3 linked regions of the Canis lupus familiaris genome follow. The protein of the gene in region 1 purifies or fractionates together with the protein of each later gene. This does not show direct contact. Links are inferred from orthologs where the notes say so. Each region holds a gene or a part of one and is shown on either strand. Other genes may lie near its edges. The genes, in order: TLE1, FOXG1 and HES1.

The links.
Region 2: the proteins of TLE1 (region 1) and FOXG1 purify together in Homo sapiens (affinity purification with western blotting; 3 studies listed by BioGRID and IntAct, with this or other methods). This does not show direct contact. The link is inferred for Canis lupus familiaris from reciprocal best matches to the Homo sapiens genes TLE1 and FOXG1.
Region 3: the proteins of TLE1 (region 1) and HES1 purify together in Homo sapiens (affinity purification with western blotting; 4 studies listed by BioGRID and IntAct, with this or other methods). This does not show direct contact. The link is inferred for Canis lupus familiaris from reciprocal best matches to the Homo sapiens genes TLE1 and HES1.

Annotation. Positions count from the first base shown.
Region 1 is NC_049222.1:78,255,421-78,263,149, forward strand, and holds the end of TLE1 (transducin-like enhancer protein 1), read left to right. Parts: intron 1-1,309; coding exon 1,310-1,457; intron 1,458-2,876; coding exon 2,877-3,027; intron 3,028-3,958; coding exon 3,959-4,035; intron 4,036-4,176; coding exon 4,177-4,284; 3' UTR 4,285-4,751; downstream 4,752-7,729. UniProt on the Homo sapiens protein: Transcriptional corepressor that binds to a number of transcription factors. Inhibits NF-kappa-B-regulated gene expression. Inhibits the transcriptional activation mediated by FOXA2, and by CTNNB1 and TCF family members in Wnt signaling.
Region 2 is NC_049229.1:8,411,264-8,419,355, forward strand, and holds FOXG1 (forkhead box protein G1), read left to right. Parts: upstream 1-3,237; 5' UTR 3,238-3,266; coding exon 3,267-4,757; 3' UTR 4,758-5,701; downstream 5,702-8,092. UniProt on the Homo sapiens protein: Transcription repression factor which plays an important role in the establishment of the regional subdivision of the developing brain and in the development of the telencephalon.
Region 3 is NC_049244.1:53,004,695-53,012,786, forward strand, and holds HES1 (transcription factor HES-1), read left to right. Parts: upstream 1-3,114; 5' UTR 3,115-3,431; coding exon 3,432-3,539; intron 3,540-3,697; coding exon 3,698-3,793; intron 3,794-4,292; coding exon 4,293-4,380; intron 4,381-4,820; coding exon 4,821-5,371; 3' UTR 5,372-5,753; downstream 5,754-8,092. UniProt on the Homo sapiens protein: Transcriptional repressor of genes that require a bHLH protein for their transcription. May act as a negative regulator of myogenesis by inhibiting the functions of MYOD1 and ASH1.

The sequences.
Region 1 (7,729 bases):
GAATAGCTTTTAGAGGAACGATTTTTGAAGCTCTCATCTTAGAATTCACATCAAGTGGTGCTTTGTCTTGTCTTCCACACTCCTTAAACTCTTTTTTTTTTAAATGATTTTATTTATTTAGTCGAGAGAGAGGCAGAGACACAGACAGAGGGAGAAGCAGGCTCCCTGCGGGGAGCCCAATGTGGGACTCAATCCCAGGACCCCAGGCTCATGCCCTGAGCCAAGGGCAGATGCTCAACTGAGCTACCCAGGCATCCCCACACTCCACTCATTAAATTCTAAGCTCAGTTTCAAAGTTTGGAGCTCTGTGAGAATAATAAGGTGAGGGGACCTAGAGGAAGGACAGACATAGAGACTCCTCTCTGGGTGTTGAAACTCCCCAGCCCCTCTAACGTATCCCGCCTGGTTCCCCGTAGCAATGGGGTCTGTTCTGGTCACTTCCTTGCTGGCTCCCTCCTGCCCTGCAGAACCAGGTCCAGAATCCACAAACCACCAACCCTGCGGTGGCTCAGTGTGGCCTCTCCCTCAGCAGACCCCACCTCGGGCCTAGCAGAGCCTCTTTGTGCCACAAACCCCTGTCACTTGATTGTTTCTGGTCTTGTTTTTTTGACTGAACCACAGGAGTTCTCTCTAAGAGAGAACCTTGAGCTGACCTTCAAGGCAGGGTCCTGCGGAGTGCCCATGGGTCAGCCTCAGAAGTTAGTGGTCTCTGCTCAGTGCCCCCGAATCAGGAGGATGGTATGATCCTTCATCTCTGGGAGTCCAGATTTCCTAACGCAGGGCTCTTTCTAACACAGAAAGCGAGGTTGAGTAAATATGTGAGCTCATGCTGTGTTGGCATGGAGGGCATTGCCTTGTGGACTCCCTCATGGAAAAGGGAGTGTTTCTGGGACCCTGAGCTGGTAATGTACTGATGCAGGCCGACGTCTTTCTTTACAGAATACGCTTGGGATTCTGTGTGTTTGTCCTTCTTTTTTTTTTCTTTTAACACTCAAACACTTTTCCAGACCCGGGAGGAATTTTACCTTCCAGACGGATTTGTAAGAAGAGCTACAAGAGCGCATTTAACTTCTCCTGTGTGATGACCTAAAATGGCATTCCATTTCTTTAGCACTTGGATCGTGAAAAAAGAAAAGGGAAAAAAATCTGCAGGTGCTGTTTCCTCCTCGGGGGAAGGTTAGTTTGATCTTGCACATCAGCAGACACTGAAGAGATGACACACACACCCCGCGTCCAAAACTAACAACACAACAGTGTTTACCTTGAGCTCTGGCAGGAAATCATTATTCAATCTCGTTTGTTTTATCAGGCAATTCCAGGGCCACACAGATGGGGCCAGCTGTATTGACATTTCTAACGATGGCACCAAGCTCTGGACGGGTGGCCTGGACAACACGGTCAGGTCCTGGGACCTACGCGAGGGGCGCCAGCTGCAGCAGCACGACTTCACCTCACAGGTGATGTGCTTTTCCCCACAGGAATCTCTGAAGTGGCCTGTGTGTGATGTCTTCCTCCCTTCATACCCCGTGGCAGTAATTATGAGGCAGACAGACTAGCCTTAAATTTGAGATACCCATTTAAAACAAACAATAAAAAAACCCCACAAACAAAGCCTCTGAAATGCTTAGCGTGGTTTCTAAAACTTTGTCAGTAAGACCTGTGAGTTTTACTTATATGTGAGTTCACCGCAGGAACTTGTTCAGCAAAGGACATACAGTTTGACCTGCTGTACATATTCCCATCATCTAGTGTGGGGGGTGAGAGGTCATTATTGGATCCACATATAAACAGAGCTTGAAAAATGTGCCGGGTTATCATGAGGAGTCAAGAAAAATCACAACACTCTGAAAGTTAATTCATTTCCCTTGCATAGGGGAGCTTAAAAAATGCAGCAGCATCTCAGTGGTTGCCCATTTTCTTATTCATCCCTCGGAAACTGGACTCGTGGCTGGCTAGATTTATGGAGGTTTGAAATTACAGGAAATGGCAACTTTGTGGGTCATGGAGATGAGTTAGATATCGAGTATCTGAATCTAGACTTGTTCTGGGAACAACGGTGCCATTCTAGGTGTCTTCTGACGGTGGGATTGATCTTTTGATCATTACTCGTGTATAGCTGTGCATAATTCTAAATTTTGTGTCCCTGTTAATCTTGTGGGGAGTCTCTTAGAGTCTTCTCATTCCAGCCCTTTTCTCGGCATGAGTTAGGCTACTGTTTTTGGTCTGCCTTTTAAAAAAAAATAACTTCTTATGGAAAATTTCAGATATATACAAGTGGAGAGAATGTCCTAGCATATGGAAGTAAGAGAAGTATCCGATAAACCCCATTTGCTCATTACTCAGCTTTACAGCTGCAAACCCATAACTGGTCTCATGTATCATCCCTGCCCCCCAAACACTGGATTGTTTTAATGTAAATCCCAGACCTCGTGTCATTTCATCCATAAGCATTTCAGGGAGTATCTGCAAAGGATAAGCACCACGTGAAAACATACACACAGATGTCATTATTAGTAAGACTCATTTCTTGGGGCACCTGGCCAGAAGAGCATGTGGCTCTTGATCTCGGGGTCGTGAGTTTGAGCCCCACATTGGGGGTAGAGATTATTTAAGTATGTAAACTTAAAAAAATACTTTTTAAAAAATAATTTCATTCCGTGTGATGTATGTATTCCAAGTTTTCTGATTGTTTTCATAAAGGTTTTTAACACATAGTGTGTCTGTGTTGGGTCTCTTGTCCCATGGACTGTACTACAGACTGGAGTTTGCTGAATTGCATCTCCTCTTCTTTGCTAATTTACCCCCATTTCTTGTTGCCATTTTACTTCTCAGTTTATTGGGCAAAATCACTAGTGAGCCTGTTCTGCTTCCTACAGATCTTCTCCCTTGGATACTGCCCAACTGGGGAGTGGCTGGCCGTGGGCATGGAGAGTAGCAATGTGGAAGTTCTTCATGTAAATAAGCCTGACAAGTACCAGCTGCATCTCCATGAGAGCTGCGTGCTGTCCCTAAAATTTGCTTATTGTGGTGAGTGGAGCTGAAAGGAAACTGGAGGATGCCAGTGGCCTCAATAGAAAATACTTCTAAAAAAATACAGTGGAGATCATGTCTGGAAAAAATGTTCTCTGAGCAGCTGGATGCAATAATTCTATTGTCTTAATATGTCCCTCAGAGCATAGTGATGTCCGTTTCAACCCATTTTCCTAATATGAGAAAAGTCAGTAGGTAATGCTTGCAAGGTTTTGACAGATTTTTTTATTATTATTGTTATCATTATTATTATTATCATCATTATCATTATTATTTAGCGGGGGAGTCTGGGGCCGAGGTGGAGGGCAGTTAGTTACCACTCTAACGCGGGGAGGAACTTACAGAAGCCTGGGGCAGGCACACTGGAAGTCACTTTGGATTGAGCAGGATAGGGAATGAGGATCAGAGAAGGGATTATTTAGCTTCCCCCACACGGTTATATGCTGCAATGAAGAAGAGGGAAGAAGTTCATGTGGAGTCGGATTATTTGTTCTTGGAGCGGACTGAGGGATGAGTGGCCATTATCACTGAGCACATTCCATGTGCCATATATTCGTGTCTGGCATTTTACTCAAGTTCATCATTTAATCCTTCCTAGACCCATTTCATCATGAGGGAAGTGATGAAAAGGACAGTAGCTTCATCATCTCACTATTTGAGGACCCACTGTGTGCTGAGTGTTCCGAAGTGTATCTGGTGGCTCATGGGGCTGACACAGTCCCTGCCGCTTTGATAAAACCCAAGACCACAGGTGGTTCACGGTGGAGCCCAGATTTAAAACCTGATCTCTCCCCTCACGTCCCAGCCAAAGCCATTGCACATGATAGTTCATGATTAGAAATGCTCTGAGTTTGTTTTAGTCTGGGTTGCTAATAGTATAGTAGGTATTTTAATCTTGCTAAACCCCATATTCCTTTGCTGACTCTAGGTAAATGGTTTGTGAGTACTGGCAAGGACAACCTTCTCAATGCTTGGCGGACCCCCTACGGAGCTAGTATATTCCAGGTGGGTCAGTGCCCCTTCCAGGAATGGCAGTTTGATGAGGGCATTCTCCATGACTCCAGAAGTGAAGGTGCCTGGGGGAGGAGCAGGGTCTCTGAGCATCGCCATTCACAGAAAATCTTTGCCCCTTGTTTTCTCTTCCAGTCCAAAGAGTCCTCATCTGTGCTTAGCTGTGACATCTCAGTGGATGATAAGTACATAGTCACTGGCTCAGGAGACAAGAAGGCTACAGTCTACGAAGTCATCTACTGAAAACATGGGTTTAACGTTTATAGTTGAATCGGGCCAAAATGTTTTGAATTTGTAGAAATAGAAAAGTTGTAACTTTAAAAGGAAAAAAAAAAACCACCATGAAAACCTGTTTCCAAACCTTGACACAAAACTATTTTGAGTCTACAAAGAGGAGGCAACGAGTCCCATCAACTGAAGGTCACCGATCTACCTAGACCAAACGGACACCGAGGCAGAGTGGACAGAGGGGCCAAGGGCTGTAGGCAGAGCCTGTACTTTCCTTTCTGTGTGATCTGCCTAGATTACCTTTCTGTTCCTTGCAGTTCCCCTCACGTTCTGTGCTTGGTAGAGCAGTGGTGTCTCCAATGAACTTGTTTCCTGGTTTTGCATCTTGTGAAATGTTTTTTTGTATTTTTGTTGAAGGTTAAACATTTGTATAAATTGTAAATATATTTGGTTTATTACAGTAAAGGCTTTAGTACCAATAAGTGGTTTTCCCTTTCCTTCTTTTCTGTTTCTATCAAAGCTTTGGGATCATTAATGTAGATTTTATCAGCAAAGTCCACACATTTGCAGAGGATGTTTAAAAATGCACTTTTGAATTTGCCAATATATTTGCCATGGCACCTGATCAACACTTCTGAGTTCCTGGGAACTCAAGACTAGGAATAGTCAGTCCTTGAAGGTTTGCTAGTGACACTTTTATTTGGGAAGCTAAAATAACTTCATCAGGATTCATGTTTCCTTTTTTAAGATACGCTTGTGATTGGAGGTCACAAATTAAAACTCTGCTTTTTCCTGGTGATTCATAGGGAGACAGAATATTCTCTAGGAAAGGCCATCTTCAAATCTTTCTTGGCACATCTCGAGGCTTGTGGGGTGACTTGTGTCTAGTGTTATGATCAATGATGTTCACAAAGCTGTGGAATTCGTTAACCTGTAAAAGAAAGATGGGATGCCAACTGGTTTTGTCTCTTTAATATTTATTTAATCTATTATATGGATTGACTTAAGCCAGTCACACCCAGCACTCAGCCCCATTCTTCTCATTAAGGCTTTCCCCTCAGCTTCTAGCCATTGTGATCTCTCATTAGTCTGGTCTTGCTCTTGGTGGACAAGCTTTTATTAATTTGATTAGATGAAACCTTAACGTTGGCCATGCATGTTTCCTCCTGAAAAGGCTACGTGGCTCACTTCTTCGTATACCTATTATTTGCTGTTATATTTTAGAAAAGAACGGTTAATATTTTTAAGCCAAGTTTCCTGGCTATTTAAAAATAGCACCTAAGGAATTTTTAATGTTCTTGTTTTCTTAGGATCCAGCAAGTTGTTGGCAGTTTGTCTTAATATTTTTCATTTGTTATCCAGACCTTCTTGTTTTTATACATTTAACAACGTTATTTTGTTTGCCTTTTGCCAAAATAATATTTGTGTATGCTGAGAGTTTGTTAAATATTTTCTCTTCTCATTAAGAGAATGGCAAAGCCCTAATTACGGAAGCTGATTTCTCTCATCCCTCCCCTGTATAATGAAGCATGTTTCTGTACTACATATGCTGATGGCTTATTAATGTAGTATTTATCTTTTCTGTTGTCTCTTCTTACCTGACTTCCCTATTTTCTATAATAGGAGGGAAGCACTTAAGTTGCTAGAACAGAGACCCCCAATGCAGTGGCTTAGAGACCACGGGAGTTTGTGACTTCCCCTAGAGACCTGAGCCAGTGGTGCAGCGCTGTGCTTTCATGCTGGCTTCTGTTGCCCCCACTCCCAGCCAGCAGTGGGGAAAGTTAAAGTCCAGGGGACAGATAACCTTTCAAGCAGATGACTTAAGAGTCTGTTCATTATTCCTAATTGGCTAGAACTCAGTCACGTGGGAGACTGGGAAAAGGGATGTCTTGCTTGCTGTGCAGCTAGCTGTGTGCCCATTAAGAAGATGGGGTTTTGAAAGGACTCTAGGTTAAAGAAATAGCCCTGTTTTCTCTTGGTGCATTTTTTTCCTTCCATGCTTTCTTGTTTCTCAAGCTTCGGATATTCTTTCTCTAGTTATATTTTCTGAGGGTGTAGACCTTACAACTCCTCAATTACCGTGAATCTAATGAAACCGTCTCCATTTGCTAGTGTGGTGCTGAAAGAGGCATCTTAGCGCAAGTCCTGCTCCTCTGCTCAGGGTGTTTGGAATCTTGGGGAATTGCCAAGACAATTGTTTCCCTCCTTGTAAAATGGGAATGATACAATAGTTGTGCCTGCCCCTCTGAGTCTAGGGGATCAAAAGCAGGACTGAGTGGCAGCTCTCTCACAATTGGAGGATGTGAGTGGGAAAGCAATTTTTTCCTAAACTGAAATTAGGAGTCATGCTGCTGTCCCCAAGGAGTCTGGAATCATGGGATTGTTGAAACCCTGGTAAGCCAAAAGTTAGTATACTCCATGCTTTGAATATGGATTACAAATTCAGGTTTAATAAATTCAAATTCAACTAGATATTGGTCACCTCTATGTGCCAAAAATGGTACTAGGCAGTTTCACCCATAAACACATTCGGAGATGATTGTCATTATCCCTAAATGTATTTAATTCTGTTTTTTTTTTTAAGCACTTGCAGTCTTTGCACCTTGAATGTAGGTTTCTGCCATCTGGCTCTTCCATGGAATTGAAGTTTACTGGGTAAAAATTGAAATCCTAGTGAGATTAGATTTGGAATGTCTTTTTGTAAAACTAGATGTTTCTAGCACTCCTAATAAGGATAAAATATTTCATCAATATGATAATTAGCATTTTTTTAAGGTTGTGCTATTTGCCAGGTGATAGGGAAGTGTTTGACATAAATTATAATCTTCACAGCATTTGAGAGATGGGATTTTTTGATGGCCTAATTTTTTTTTTTTTTTTTAAGATTTCATGACTGGTAAGTAGCTTCTGGCTTTAAAGCCATCGAGCATTCATACAGAGATTTTTTTAAAATGGCACTTTTGCTGTTGGCACACAGAGGTTGTGACTTTCCCCAATGAGTTTTCCAACAAATCAGAGAGAGATCAAATTCTTAACTTCAGCATGCTGTTTCATGCCATCAGGAGACTGCTGCCTCTGTCATCAGCTTGAAATTGAGTGATGACATTTCAAACTCCATTCTGCTGTAGATCCATGGATTTTTTTCTTCTCGGACATCTCTTCACTCCTCGCTCAGCAATGAAAGTGTCAGATTACCACAGTTTCGGGCTTCCCTGAGCAAACTGTAGTTTGAGTGAGGGTTATTTTCTGCTCTGGGGAATTTACTCTCCAGACACCCAAAGCTTTGTTTGGCTTCATATTTTGTCCTGGCACTTAAACAGTTAAATGCTTATGAGTTGGGTTCATATTTCTAGAAAAGTTGTTCTCAAACTTTAATGGGCATCAGAATCACCAGGAGGAACAGATTCAGATTTTGGGGTCCCCAACTCTTGAGTTTTTGAGTCAGTAGATCGGGGTGGGA
Region 2 (8,092 bases), on another chromosome or scaffold:
TGCACTTATGAGCATGCAATCAGCTAATTTCGCTTTTTTTTCTTCTGTGTTAATCAACACTTTCCTTCCTGCATATCAGAGTACAAATAGTATAGTTACTCCACATCAGTAAATGTTTACGTAACCTGTCCTTTCCCAAGAATCCGGTTACACCGAATCATTTCACGCTAGACCGACTACGAAAACGTACCGGGCCGTCCACCTCAGAGGGAGCCCTTGTGTGCCATTATAAGTGGTGATGAGAAGGGGGGTTGTAGGGGGAGAAATGGGGAGGAGTAGGTGGAGGAATGGAGCTAGGGAGAGGAATAGACTGAGGAGAAGGGGGGGTAGTGAGTGGGGAGGAGGGAGGAAGAGGGGAGGAGGGAGGAAAGTGAGTTGAGGAAAAGTAGGAATAACAGGCCCGAGGCAGGGGGAAGAGTGAAAGGAGGAAAGTGAGCAGAAAGAAGAGGAAGGCTCACAGATCTGTCCAGCCGGCCCACAAAGCCCATTAGCTCACCCAGCTCTGTAAGAAATTGGAGCTTAGAAGTCAGTTTGGGGCTCTGTCACCATCAACGTTGATAGCTGGGACCCTTCAACTTTCCCACATGAAAATATAGATTAAGTGAGGAAATAAGTAGAAATGGGAGGGGGGGGATACATACATACATACATACATACATACATACATACAGTGGAAGGACAGATGCAGTTAGTCCAATGTTCAAAGTTTCTTTATGGTATTCCTAACAGATGTAAAATCACTAGCTATTGGTAATCGTCTGTTATTCAGAGTTTATTCTCTCTTTCTCTTCCTCAGGATTTCAAAGTAGGGAGTGGGGTGCCCAGAGAGAGAGAGAGAGAGAGTGCCACAACCCCATATGAACTTGAGTATTCTTGTGTTCATCAACCGAATTCTTTTTATTAGAATTGAACTTTGACATCACCTCTTCTCCCTTCCTTTTCTTAAATACTAAATCCGCCAATTTAATTGATAGTTTATCAGAGTGCGTGAATGTTTACATTTTATGATGATTTTGCAGAGGAGGGGGAAAGTGCCTTTCATTTATGCTTCTCCTCCACCTCCCTCTTCTCTAGGGCTACATCCTCCGTAAAATGTGGTATGTTTCGTACCCATGTGGGATGAAACAGCCTTTGATCAGTGTGCTCCGCACCAAATTCCAATCCCTGGGAAATGCTGGGCCTTAGCCCTGCCCCTGGCCACGGGATCCTTTTAAAGCCCCCGAATCACAATCTCCCCACTCACTTCAGTCCTCAGCCGAACCTTCCCAGTTCGAAAGCCCAAGAAGCTGGGGCTGTGGGACCCACGTACCCAGGGCTTCTAGTTGCCTTCCGTCCGCATTCGGGGTGGGAAAGGCCTGGCTTCGGCATGCGGTTCTTTCAGCATTAAGGCCCGCACAAATCAAAAGCGTTTGAGAAACGGAAAGAAAAAAGAAAAGAGGGAGTGAAAACAGGAAGGCTTTAAAAAAAAAAAAAAAGAAAGAAATAGCCGCCCACCCTTATTTTCCTTCCAATGTCAACAAGCAAAATGAAACATTTCCAGGGTGATCGCTCGCGGCTACTCGCTTCCAATTCGGATTAGAAGCTGAGCAGACGCTGGGGCGGCGGAGAGAAGGCGACACCGGGTCACCCAGCGTGTGAGCGACGGTCCGGAGCAGGAGAGGAGGGGAAGGAAGAGAGAGACACAGAGGCAGAGCATGTGTTACCTGGTTTATTTCGAGACTGTTTGGTATTGTTCGCTGAGCACCCCTCCTTGCGGAAGGCTACCCTAGGCGCCCACCACTGAGCCGCCCCCGCCCGCCGCCGCCGCCGCCGCCGCCGCCGCCGCCGCCGCCGCCGCCTCCGCGCCGGCAGCCCCAGGGCCCGGCTTCCCCGCGGGCCCGAGCCCCGAGCCCCGAGCCCCGAGCCCCGAGCCCCGAGCTCGCCGCCGCCCGGCCGCAGGAACCGAGTAAGTAGCCCCCGTTTGGCCCCGCGCTCGCCAGCCCACTCCCTCCGCCTCATCCCTCCGTCTCCGACCCTCGGCCGGACCCGCCGCCCCCCCACGCCAGGGGTGGGCCTTCCCTCGCCTTCCCTCCCCTGCCCTCCGAAGCCTCGCCGGGGTGTTACCTACGAGGGGCACAGTTTTCCTACGGGCTCGGCAATGCCGCCCCGGGCCTGGAGGGCCGACTCGGGGCCGGTCGCGCCTCGCCTCTTCCTCCTCCACTTCCTGCCCTCTCCTCGCACCCCGTCCCCGCACTCCCACACTCTCCGCCCCACCGCCGCGGCCGCCCCCGCCCCCGCCCCCGCCCCCGCTTTTAAAAATGAAATGGAATACAAACTTTAATCAATAACGACAAACATTGACGCTCAAACGAAAATGGCCCGACACGGCGAGGAGGCAGCCGGAAATGTGAGCTATCTGCCCTAAGAGGGGGACCTCGGCGGAGCGGCCCGCAGGGCGGAGGGGGTGGCGGGGGCGCCGAGAGGGCCGCGGCGCAGCGTGCTCCGGGCGGCGTATCCCTACGCGGCTCCGCGCGGCCGCGAGGCCCAGGCCCGCGGCGAGGGGGAGGCGAGCGCCGAGGGGGCGGGAGCCGGCGGGCGGGGCGGGGGTGGGTGGGCCCGGGTCCGCCGATTGGTCGACGGCGGGAGAGACGCTCCCGCACGCCGCCGGCTCTGATTGGCCGAGCGGTAGGAAAGGTTAAACCAAAAATTTTTTTACAGCCCTAGTGTGCGCCTGTAGCTCGGAAAATTAATTGTGGCTATAGCCGCCTCGATCGCTGTCTCCCCAGCCTCGCCGCGGCCGCTCCGGGACGCGCCCGCCCGCCGCCCGGCTCTCCCCCCCTTTGGGCTGCTGCTGCTGCTGCTGTGACTGCTGCTGCGAGAGGAGGAGGAGGAGGAGGAAGCAGCAGAAGGGGGGGGGAGCGGGGGGTGGGGGGGAGACCAAGAAGTAGAGTTGGGAGCGAGGGAGCTTCACCCCCGGGGCGGTGGTTGTTTCTTTTTTCTCTTTCTTTCTTTTTTTCTTTTCCCTTTTTTTTTTTTTTTTTTTTCTTCTAATTCCTGAGGGGTGGTTGCTGCTTTTGCTACATGACTTGCCAGCGCCGGAGCCTGCGGTCCAACTGCGCTGCTGCCGGAGCGCTCAGTGCCGCCGCCGCCGCCCGCGCCGCCCGCGCCCCGCTCGGCACCCACCGGTCGCCGCCGCCCGCCGCGCCGCTGTCCCGCTCCCGCGCCGCCGCCGCCGCCGCCGCCGCCGCCGCCGCCGCCGCCGCCGCTTCCCCCCCGACGACTGGGTGATGCTGGACATGGGAGATAGGAAAGAGGTGAAAATGATCCCCAAGTCCTCGTTCAGCATCAACAGCCTGGTGCCGGAGGCGGTCCAGAACGACAACCACCACGCGAGTCACGGCCACCACAACAGCCACCACCCCCAGCACCACCACCACCACCACCACCACCACCACCACCCGCCGCCGCCCGCCCCGCAGCCGCCGCCGCCGCCGCCGCCGCAGCAGCAGCCGCCGCCGCCGCCGCCGCCGCCGCCCCAGGCACCGCAGCCCCCCCAGGCGCGGGGCGCCCCGGCAGCCGACGACGACAAGGGCCCCCAGCAGCTGCTGCTCCCGCCGCCGCCGCCGCCGCCGCCGCCGCCGCCGGCCGCCGCCCTGGACGGGGCCAAGGCGGACGGGCTGGGCGGCAAGGGCGAGCCGGGCGGCGGGCCCGGGGAGCTGGCGCCCGTCGGGCCGGACGAGAAGGAGAAGGGCGCCGGCGCCGGGGGGGAGGAGAAGAAGGGGGCGGGCGAGGGCGGCAAGGACGGGGAGGGGGGCAAGGAGGGCGAGAAGAAGAACGGCAAGTACGAGAAGCCGCCCTTCAGCTACAACGCGCTCATCATGATGGCCATCCGGCAGAGCCCCGAGAAGCGGCTCACGCTCAACGGCATCTACGAGTTCATCATGAAGAACTTCCCCTACTACCGCGAGAACAAGCAGGGCTGGCAGAACTCCATCCGCCACAACCTGTCCCTCAACAAGTGCTTCGTGAAGGTGCCCCGCCACTACGACGACCCGGGCAAGGGCAACTACTGGATGCTGGACCCGTCGAGCGACGACGTGTTCATCGGCGGCACCACGGGCAAGCTGCGGCGCCGCTCCACCACGTCGCGCGCCAAGCTGGCCTTCAAGCGCGGGGCGCGCCTCACCTCCACCGGCCTCACCTTCATGGACCGCGCCGGCTCCCTCTACTGGCCCATGTCGCCCTTCCTGTCCCTGCACCACCCCCGCGCCAGCAGCACTTTGAGCTACAACGGCACCACGTCGGCCTACCCCAGCCACCCCATGCCCTACAGCTCCGTGTTGACTCAGAACTCGCTGGGCAACAACCACTCCTTCTCCACGGCCAACGGCCTGAGCGTGGACCGGCTGGTCAACGGGGAGATCCCGTACGCCACGCACCACCTCACGGCCGCCGCGCTCGCCGCCTCGGTGCCCTGCGGCCTGTCGGTGCCCTGCTCCGGGACCTACTCCCTCAACCCTTGCTCGGTCAACCTGCTCGCGGGCCAGACCAGTTACTTTTTCCCCCACGTCCCGCACCCGTCAATGACTTCGCAGAGCAGCACGTCCATGAGCGCCCGGGCCGCGTCCTCCTCCACGTCTCCGCAGGCCCCCTCGACCCTGCCCTGTGAGTCTTTAAGACCCTCTTTGCCAAGCTTCACGACGGGACTGTCCGGGGGACTGTCTGATTATTTCACACATCAAAATCAGGGGTCTTCTTCCAACCCTTTAATACATTAACATCCCTGGGACCAGACTGTAAGTGAACGTTTTACACACATTTGCATTGTAAATGATAATTAAAAAATAAGTCCAGGTATTTTTTATTAAGCCCCCCGCCCCCATTTCTGTACGTTCGTTCAGTCTTTAGGATTGTTTATTATTCTAACAAGGTGTGGAGTGTCAGCGAGGTGCAATGTGGGGAGAATACATTGTAGAATATAAGGTTTGGAAGTCAAAATTATAGTAGAATGTGTATCTAAATAGTGACTGCTTTGCCATTTCATTCAAACCTGACAAGTCTATCTCTAAGAGCCGCCAGATTTCCATGTGTGCAGTATTATAAGTTATCATGGATCTTTATGGTGGACGCAGACCTTGAGAACAGCCTAAATTATGGGGAGAGTTTTAAAATGTTAAACTGTAATTTGTATTTAAGAAGCATTCGTAGTAAAGGTGCCCAAGAAATTATTTTGGCCATTTATTGTTTTGTCCTTTTCTTTAAAAAAACCGTTTTTTTTTCTTTTGTTTACTTTTAGACCAAAGATTGGGTTCTAAAATGCACTTGGTATGCTAAGTATTAAAAAAAAAAAAAAAAAAAAAAACCACAAAAAAAAAAAAAAGGAAAGTTGTTTCAGTTGGCAGCACTGCCCATTCAAATGAATCAGAAGGGGACAAAATTAATGATTGCCTTCAGTTTGTGTTGTGTATATTTTGATGTATGTGGTCACTAACAGGTCACTTTTATTTTTTCTAAATGTAGTGAAATGTTAATACCTATTGTACTTATAGGTAAACCTTGCAAATATGTAACCTGTGTTGCGCAAATGCCGCATAAATTTGAGTGATTGTTAATGTTGTCTTAAAATTTCTTGATTGTGATACTGTGGTCATATGCCCGTGTTTGTCACTTACAAAAATGTTTACTATGAACACACAGAAATAAAAAATAGGCTAAATTCATATATATCTTGATACTTTTGTCTCTTTTATTAAATAGAGCTAATTTTTAAAAGACCATTAAAGTCCTAGGGAATTCAAAGGCTTTTTCGGCCAACTAAAATTTAACTGCTCCTTTCATTTGAATTGAGACTTCAAAAAAATTAAAATACCTTTTTTTTTTCCCCATTGTGGAATCAAATTTTACAAGGAGCAGGCTATTTGATAAGCACTAGCTTTAAAGAAATTACAGGCTTTTCAGCTGGTATCTTCAAGTTTCTGTAGATATACAGCAAAAAAAAAAAAATTATAATTTTATGTGCATAGCTATTTTACCTTGTGTTTATTTTCAAATCAGTTGATAGAATGCTTACTTTTTATATATTTTGTTTCAGGTATCTTGTTTATAGCATTTGGCAAATTATAAATAAATATATGTATATGGTTAGATAGAAGTGAATATAATGCACACATATGTAATATATATATAGATATATATATATATGTGTGTATATATATGTAAACACACAGAGCCCTTCAGTTCAGGTACAATTTGCGCTATGAATGCTGCAAATATTTTTGTTTAAATATTTGTATTTATACTTTCTAAGTCAGCATTTATTTTTGTGGCTGTTTACCCACAATGAAAGAGTTCTAATAAAGATGTGCTGAAGTTGCAATATAGATTTGCTGAAGTGATCACCTGTTGTAATGACTTGCAGATCAATGTTTATATTTTATTTTTAATTATAACAACTTAAAATTCTAGATGTTCAGAAGAAGTAAAATGCCTCTCTCTCCTTTTCTTTCATTTTTACGACATAGAGGTATTTATTTGATTCCCTTTTAAATGTCTGTATAATTTAATCTAGAGGTTTGTTCCTTTTGCTTAGTCATAATTTTGCTTTAACTTACAGTATGCATATGCATGCGTATATATGCATATATATCAATCTGAAACAAAATGAAAACATTTTTTGAATTGTTTCAGCATCTCAATTGCTATGACTGCAGAAAATAATTAGAAAACCTAAGTAAAAGGTTTAGTAACTAATTGGATCCTGTGGAGAGTCTATGGAGGACAAGTTGTTCATTTGTTACAATTGTATAGTCTGAAATGTGTTCTGCAGTAATGCAATAAGCTGGCTACTTCTTACAATGGGCCCAATGAAAAATAATCTGTCCCCAAGATGTTATCGGCAAACACTTAGAGAGTTGCTCAGGAAAAAGGGGGGGGGGGGAAAGCCTAGGAGAGAAGCAAGCGGACTCAAATAGATTGAAATAGAAATGCAGAATAGTTCTAATATTGGGACATAGGGATGGATGGGTTGTGGAAGGGAGAGACAGAAGAAGACAGAAGAAAGGAAAAGATATTTGGGGATGGGGGGGGGGAGCATCTCCCACTACCAAAAAGAAAGAAAGAGAAAGAGGATGCTGTTTGAGAAAGATAGATAAAGTTGGGGAAAATTAAAAGAGCTGGAACCAAATATACACAAATGGGAAATTGACTAAAATAGACCAAGACAGCTAGTTTAATTATCTCCTTTAAGCAGACTGGACACGATTTTGTTTTCTTAGTAAAAGAGCAGTTTCGCCAGAGGTCCAGCTTTCTTGAAATGTAACAGTTCTTCAGAATGAAGCATGAAAGAAAATTCCACAAATAAGTTGTTTTAGAAGCCAAATTTATTACTATTAAAAATAGTAATAGAGTCCAAGTGAGTGAGGTTAGGCAAGGGAAATCCCCCTCATATAAATGTGAACCAAAACAGCTCAAAGAAAAGCATGTGTTTAGACTGAAAAAGGTGATGATGTATTGTTTGCTTTTACCATGGACTTTGTGGAATGAGAATGTATTGCCACAGAAGAAATAGTCTTTTGCCTATCAAAAAGTTAAAAAGAAAGTTGAACTCTTGTATTGTGGTAAAAGGGACATAGACTCAGAAGAAAGAGTTCCTCCATGAGGTGTTTTTTTTTTTTTTTCTGGCCATATTAAATAAGTATACTTTTTTGTGATAAATGTTTATTTGCATGATTGAGAAATCAAATTTCAAGGGCAAACTTCTGAGGTCAAGCATAAAATTGACTTCTTTGAACTCATAGGACCTAAGGACTGGAATGGAAGTTCTATTTGGATACATCTCCCAAGTTAACATAGATAATGGATGTAACTAGAAGTAAGAATAGCTTGTTGAATACGCATACAAGATAGGGGGGAGGATGTACAGAGAGAGAAATTTGTGAAGGCCTCCTGAAGCCCGATATGAACATTTCATTTATCTCAATCTGTCCTATCATCTCTCAAGTTATCTTTTTTAAAAACGTACAGTGTTCTAGCATGGTGTTTAATTGTTGTTGTTGGTTTTTTTTTTTTTTTTGCAACAAATTGGTTGTAATGTTGTGTTGATATTTGTTGTCAC
Region 3 (8,092 bases), on another chromosome or scaffold:
ATAAGGCTAAAATCCTTTAGCAGGATGTTTAGGGGTCTTGCGACTTGGCCTCACGCCTCCTCCTGCCGGCCCTACACCCTGGACTCCAGACCGCGATCTCTGAATCACGACCTCAAGTTCCAGACTGTAGGGCTTTAATGCCACGGGGTCCTCCCATCCCACCCCCTAGCCCCATGACCCACATTTCCAGGGGCCCAATCCTACCTATGTTTCAAGATCCCCTCCTGGAAACATTCCAGGATGCACCCACTTATTAGCACTGGACTCATCCTAGACCTCCGGAGCACCTTACTTCTGTCTGGAGCACACAGGTCTCTCCTGAACCTGCGAGAGGCCTGTCGTGTGAAAGAGTCGCCGGCCGCGCTGGAGAGCGTGGGGTCTGGGCGCTGCAGGCCTCCTGGGGGTCCCCGGGCAAGAGCGCCCATGCGAGTGTTTAGGGCCTCCTTAGGCTCCCCTGACCCCGCAGGCCACCACCCGGGCCCCGGGAGGAGTACAGGGGCAGGCCCGGTCATCGGAAAGTCAAGCTCCTCCTCGCCGCCGGCCAGGGCACCCGCCTGCCGGTAACCCGGGGCCCAACTCGGCGCCTGGCACGGAGCGGGCGCTGCGCGCGGGGGAGGGGGCCTCGCGGAGGTCCCGAGTCGGGCCGCTGAGACTGAGGCTGCTCGGCCGGGCGGGAGCGGTGGGAGCGTTTACAACATTATCTCAGCGGGGAGCTCGGAGGAAGGAAGGAATGAAGTGTCTGGGAACCGTGTGCCAGGCCTCCGGCGGCCTCCAGGCCTGCGGCGGGGCTGGGGGGGGGGGGGGGGGGAGCGCCAGCAAACGCGACGCCGGCTCCCGGGCCCCCCAGCGTCCGAGCAGCGCGCCGAGCCCGCGGGGGCGGGGACGCAAGGGTGGGGGGCGGGGGCGCGGGCAGGGTGGAGGAGGCGGGCACGGGGGCGGGGGGCGCGCAGGGTGGAGGGGGTGGGGGGTAGGGGGTGGGGGGCTCGCGGGGAGGAGGGGGCCCGGGGTGGGGGGCGCACGGGGCGGAGGGGGCTTGGGGGGTTGGAGGGGCTCGCGGGGTGGAGGGGCTCGCGGGGGCGGAGGGGGCCCGGGGTGGAGGGCTCGCGGGTGGAGGGGGCCCGGGGGTGGGGGGCGCACGGGGCGGAGGGGGCCCGGGGGTGGGGGGGCGCACGGGGCGGAGGGGGCCCGGGGGTGGAGGGCTCGCGGGGAGGAGGGGGCCCGGGGGTGGGGGGGCTCGCGGGGTGAAGGGGATGGGGGGCGCGGGTGCGCGCAGGGGACCCGGGCGCCGGCAGGGTGGCGGGGGTGGGGGGCGCGGGGGCGTCCGGGGCGCGGGGGGCGTCGGGGGCAGAGCGCGCCGCCGGGCCGCGCGGCAGGCAGGTCCCCGGGGAGGCGGCCGCAGAGCCCCGGCGCTCCCGGCCCGGCGCCCCGCCACGTGGCACCCGGCGGCGGCGGCGGCGGCTCCTCCCGGCGCGCGGCCCGGCCAGCCGGCAGCACGCAGCCGCCGCCCGCGCCGCCCGCCTCCTCCCGGCCGCCCGCCGGCCGCCTCCCGGGCCTCCGGGGCGCAGCGAGGGGGAGCCGCCGGGCGGGGGGGGGGGGGGCGGGGGCGGGGGCGCGAAGCCGCGGTGACCGCAGCCGCCGAGCGGAGGCAGGAGGCCGCCCGGCCGCTTCCTAAGTGCGGTCAGGCATCTCGTGACCGCGGCGGGCGCCGGGGCCCCGCGGGGGGGGGCGGGGAGGGGGGAGGCGGGCCGGGAGGGGAGGGGGAGGGGAGCCACCAGGAGCGCCCGCCCCCGCCTCCCTCCGCCTGGAAGCCCCAGCCCGGGTCGGGGTGCGGGGGGGTGAGTGGGGTGAGCCCGCCGCCCCCGCCCGGAAGGCCGACCTTGGCCCGCCCCGCCCCTCCCCTCCCTCCCGCCCCGCCCGGACACACGCACCCCCGCCGCCGCGCGCGCCGACGAGCCCGCCGGGCGCAGGGGCGGGGTTTTCCCAGGCTCGGGCGCAGCAGCTGCTCCTGCCCTCCCGGCCCCCCGGCGCGCACTCGCCCTCGCGCTCGCGCTCGCACACGCACTCACACACGCACGCACACACACATCCTCCGGCCCGGCCGCAGCCGCCGCCGCAATAAAACATCCTGGCACGTGCTCCGGCCCCGGGCGCGCCCTCCCGGCCGGCTGATGTCAACCGCGGCGCGGCGGCGGCGGCTCTTAAAGGGCCCGCGCGCGCCGGGGGCCGCCGGGGGAGGGGCGGGGAGGGGAGGGGCGGGGAGGGGAGGCCGCCGCCCGGGAGCCCGTGGGCGGGAGGGGACGCAGGGCGAGGGCGCGCGCGCGGGCCTGGGGCCCCGCCATCAAAGCCCCTCTTGTTCATCTTTCATTTGAAATTCCATTTCCTTTCTGCCCGGTTGGAAATTATTCTGATTGTTTCCTGGGGAAGCGCGGGATCCAAGGCCCCAAGTGCAGAAGAGGAATGAGGGGCGCGCGAGGGGCGGGGGGGGGGGGGAGGGGGGGGGGGGGGAAGTTGCAAAAAAATAAAAACATCTTGCTCTGGAAACTCGCTCACGTAAGGTGGGAGGCACCTTTTCCTTTTAACGTATGCAAAACAAATATAGATATTTTTGCCTCTTTTCTGCATGATCGATTTTACATCTCCCTCCTCGCCCCGATGTGTAGTGTCTCAGGGGTGACTCAGTTGAATGTTTCGGTAACTCACACCCTTGCACACGGTCTCCTCTTTCCTCCCTGTCCTTCTAAACCCTTTAAAAAATTATATATATATATATATATATTGCAAATGAAGTTCTTATTAGTGCCAGAGCAGCTCTATGCTACACGTGGAAGGGAATAAAGAGCAGAGACTCTGGCCCTAAAAGAAATAAATTAGACTGGGGCGAAACCTGCGGAAAAATCCCCTCTAAAGCAAAGCCCAGCGGGGAGAATAGCAAAGGGTTAAAATCCTTTTGATTGACGTTGTAGCCTCCGGTGCCCCGGGCTCAGGCGCGCGCCATTGGCCGCCAGGCCTTGTGCCCGGCGGCCAATGGGGGGGCGCGGCCCACGAGCGGTGCCGCGTGTCTCCTCCTCCCATTGGCTGAAAGTTACTGTGGGAAAGAAAGTTTGGGAAGTTTCACACGAGCCGTTCGCGTGCAGTCCCAGATATATATAGAGGCCGCCAGGGCCTGGGGATCACACAGGATCCGGAGCCGGTGCAGATAACAGTGGGATCCCCCGTCTACCTCTCTCCTTGGTCCTGGAATAGCGCTGCCGGCCGCCGAGTGGCCCTAAGACTGTACCATAAACCCCCAGCACTTGCTCAGTCGTCCTGCGGAGGCCTCCAGTGAAAGGGACATAAACAAAGCAATTTTTTCTGTGTGTGTGTGTGTGTGAAGGACTCCAAAAATAAAATTCTCTAGGGACTTGGGGAAAAAAAAAAAAAAGCAACAGAAAATGCCAGCTGATATAATGGAGAAAAATTCCTCGTCCCCGGTGGCTGCTACCCCGGCCAGTGTCAACACGACACCGGATAAACCAAAGACAGCATCCGAGCACAGAAAGGTAAGGGCAGCGCCGCTCTCCCTGCAGCCCCGAGACCCAGGTCGGGCGTGGGGGGCGGGGGGGCTCCCTTCTCCTAACCCCGGGGTGAAGCGGCAGATCCCAGGGGGAACTCGGGGCGCTTTGTAAAAAAAAAATATATATATATAATTTCTTTGCAGTCATCCAAGCCTATCATGGAGAAAAGACGAAGAGCAAGGATAAATGAAAGTCTGAGCCAGCTGAAAACACTGATTTTGGATGCTCTTAAGAAAGATGTAAGTGGGTAATGCTGCCTTTTTTTTTTTTTTTCTTTTTTCTCTTTCAATTAAAATGAAATCCCATTTCTGGGCTACTGAGCGCGAACCCCCCTCGCTGGCGGGATCGTCCCCGCCCGCACTGCGGTCTCGGGGCCGGAGGCCGGGCCCCTCCAGGGTCTGGGGATGTCGGGGGGCGGGGAGGGGAATCCCAGGTGTCGGGGCCGCGGCAAGCGGGGGGAACCCCAGGTCTCGGGGCTGCCGTTGGGGGTGACCCCAGGTCTCGGGGCTGCCGGCGGGGAGTCCACATGTGTCGGGGCCGCCGGCGGGGTGACCCCAGGTCTCGGGGCCGCTGTTGGGGGTGACCCCAGGTGTTGGGGCCGCCGTTGGGGGTGACCCCAGGCCTCGGGGCCTCCGGCGGGGCGACCCCAGGTCTCGGCGCTTCCGGAGGGGGTGACCCCGGGTCTCGGGGCCGCCGGCGGGGCCCTCACGTCCGTGCCTTGCCTCCTGCTGTGTGCAGAGCTCGCGGCATTCCAAGCTGGAGAAGGCGGACATTCTGGAAATGACAGTGAAGCACCTCCGGAACCTGCAGCGGGCGCAGATGACGGGTGAGGCGGCTGCGCGTCCCCTGGGGGCGCCCCGTGCGCCCCGCGGCGACCCCTCCCAGACTTCCGCCCGCGGTGGAGAGAGGCATTCAGCTGCGTTTTACTGCCTTGGCTCAGCCCCGCGTTCCCACGGTCTGGGCTTATTTATAGCCGCGGCTCCAAGTTGTTAGTGTTCCGGAGAGGGGGGGCGCGGGCCGGCGGGCAGGGGGGCGCGGGGCGCGCAGCCTGGGGTCCCCTGGCCGCCCCCTCCCCCCCCCCGCCCTGCAGGAGCCAGGCCCGGGCGGCGCGGAGGGGGAAGGGCGCTGCCCAAGGTCACTAGCGCGGGGGCGGGAGCAGAGGTGCAGGGCCCCCTCCCCCTCCCCCTCCCCCTCCCCTCCCCACCGGGTGGTCCGGGCGGGGCGGGCCGGGGCCTCGGGTGACCCGCGCGCCCCCTCTGCCCGCAGCCGCGCTGAGCACAGACCCGAGCGTGCTGGGCAAGTACCGCGCCGGCTTCAGCGAGTGTATGAACGAGGTGACCCGCTTCCTGTCCACGTGCGAGGGCGTCAACACCGAGGTGCGCACGCGGCTGCTCGGCCACCTGGCCAACTGCATGACCCAGATCAACGCCATGACCTACCCGGGGCAGCCGCACCCCGCCCTGCAGGCGCCGCCGCCGCCCCCGCCCGGCCCCGGAGGCCCGCAGCACGCGCCGTTCGCGCCGCCCCCGCCGCTCGTGCCCATCCCCGGGGGCGCGGCGCCCCCTCCCGGCGGTGCGCCCTGCAAGCTGGGCAGCCCGGCCGGGGAGGCCGCCAAGGTGTTCGGCGGCTTCCAGGTGCTGCCGGCGCCCGACGGCCAGTTCGCCTTCCTCATCCCCAGCGGGGCCTTCGCCCACAGCGGCCCGGTCATCCCCGTCTACACCAGCGGCGGCGGCGCCTCCGTGGGCCCCGGCGCCGGCTCGCCCTCCAGCGGCCCCTCGCTCACGGCGGACTCCATGTGGCGGCCCTGGAGGAACTGAAGGCCCGGGCACCCTCCCCTGCCCTGCCCTGCCCCGCCCCGCCCCGGGGACACTCAACAGGAACTTGGACACTGGGAGACCAGAGGACTGTAATGATCAAGTGGTTACTTTGTTTCTTTTTTTTAATTCCTAAAAAGTTACTTTTTTTTGTAGAGAGCTGTATTAAGTGACTGACCATGCACTATATTTGTATATATTTTATATGTTCATATTGGATTGCGCCTTTGTATTATAAAAAAAACTCAGATGACATTTCGTTTTTTACACGAGATTTCTTTTTTTATGTGATGCCAAAGATGTTTGAAAATGCTCTTAAAATATCTTCCCTTTGGGAAGTTTATTTGAGAAAATATAATAAAAGAAAAAAGAGTGAAGGCTCCTATGTCTTAGAACTGATTATTTCGGTATATATGTAAAAAAGAAAAAAAAGCTCTTGGCAGAATTTGTGGATTACATGTAATCTGAGAATTCAGTCATTGGCTCTTTTGTTATTAAAAGAACATTTTAAAAAATCCAGCAGACCTTTTACCGGCCTCCATGAAGTAAATTCCACTTAATTTGCAAGAACCCGTCTAATATGGCTACTCTGATCAATTTGAGGTCAATCTCTTAAATAGGATTTCAATTATTATTATTTATTTTTTTTTTTTAGTTGCAGTTGGGTATATCATTCAGTCCTGGTTTTCCTTACAGCTCCTTCTGAAGAAGGTTGAACCAGACTGAAGTCAATCAATCGAGTAATGCGTGCCCACCACACAGTAAGTGAGACCCCCGTGGCGCCGCTTCCCTGGGGTCGCACCCCGACATCCAAAGGAAACGGATGCAGCCTCTGGCCCTCAAACGTTGGAGCCCGTTTACTTAGTACATAGGTGCAGCTAGCTGCGCAGTCCCTTGTACCGGCATCCAAAAGTTTGAAAATGCCTCTCTGCACCCTCTTCAAGCAAGCTGAGAAGGTCAACAGATTCCTTCTGCCAGGGGACAGCTAGTTAGACTCCCAAGTGGAGCCCAAGTCCAGATGATTAACACCAGACATATGTTTTTGATAAGTTTCTGCGCTTGGCTCTAATAGAGAAAGCATGTGGGGGCCGCGCTGGCAGGCACACAGGCCATCTTCCCTTTAATACAAACAGCAAGCGACCCCTTCGCTTGGTCATGCCCCATTTCCAGGCAAGATGTGGGCTCCAGATAGAAGCAAAAGGGTTGTCTCGGGTTTCAGCTCACATAACCCTCCTTAACAAGTCCTAACTCAAAGCGGACAGCTTTAAACTGTGCCAGGATCTGCAGGGAATTTCTTCCAAATCCCATCACAAAGGCTTGTCAGATTTTGTCAGATTTGGCCAGGTGTTTGACTGCATCCAGGTGTTGGGGAAATGAAAACCACGAGCCCTGCGAGACCAGACACATCAGCCGCGCTGTGGGTCTGGCGGGCGCGCCCTCCTCCCCCACCGCCGGCCAGTCCTCCTCCCTGCCCGGCCCCTCCCGCCAGCCTCCTCTCATCCCCCTTCTTTTAGAACGGCTTCTGGGAGGAGAAGGATGAGGCGGGAGAAATCAATCTTTGAAGCCTTCCTAACAAAGATAAAGCCAACGATTTTCTGTCTTGTTTCAAAAGCTTTACCTCTCCCCCGCCTTGCTCCAGCCTTTCCCACAGGCCAGCGTGGAGAGCGGCCGTATCGCGGGAATGATCTAGCCAGCAGACAGCACTTTTCTACCCAAATACCTTCGACCGACCCAGCTTTGGACGCAGAGGGAGAGTTTTCAAAGATATTTTTTTTAAATTTGGCCCCTACTTGCCTCATTATGTGAAAGGTGTCCAACACCCACCCCCCGAGAAATACACGCACATGTACACACACCCTGCTTTATTGTACCATTTTTCCATGATTTCTCTCTTGTTTGAACACAAACAAAATAGCAATTGCTCTATTAAGACATCGAACACAAGCCTGAGTGCTGCATTTGGTAAACCTGTCCTCAGGAGCCCTAGAAGTCCTGAACTGTCCTGGCATAAATAATGGAGACATCAGGGTCTCCTTTTTATAAAAATACATTTATGTTCTTTAAGAAGCCACACACCCGTGCATGCACGCGCGCACACACACACAGCGGAATCTCTACACCAACTTTAAATTAATTAAAGTTAATTCTATTCATCAAAACTACATAAATTTCTTGGGGGAGGAAGTAATAAATTTAAGGAAAAGAAGTAAATATTTGCTCTTCTGATAATTTGAAAATTGTCTTTTTTATTTTTTTCTTGGAATTTGGGTCTAGACTCTTAGAGGAGGCATTTGTTTCCATACAATGTGGAGAGAAGGGTGACACCCTAGGCCCCAATGGGAACTTTCAGGCTCCTGTGCCAGCTGCACCACTGAACTGGCTGTGTCACTTTGGATGAGTCACTTCCCTTATCTGGGACATTTCCAGGTCCGTAAAATGAGTGGGTTTATTTCGAAGACCTTGTGCCCTCCTGCACCCAGGCTGTTTCTGGAGTAATTAGTTGGGGTGGCGGGGTGGGGGTGGTGAAGCTTCAAAGACAACTGCGACTTTGGCCAGCCACCCCCACTCCGGTCTGGCCTGGTTTTACGACCTCGGGGCACACCCCGCGGCCCCTGTCCGCCCCCCCCCCCCAGGCTGTCCCGATGGTTCCCGGAGATAAGGCCCAGCGGCCCAGCTCCCAGCCCCGTGTCCGGATGCGGGCCGCCCGGGAGGCCACCCAGTGCA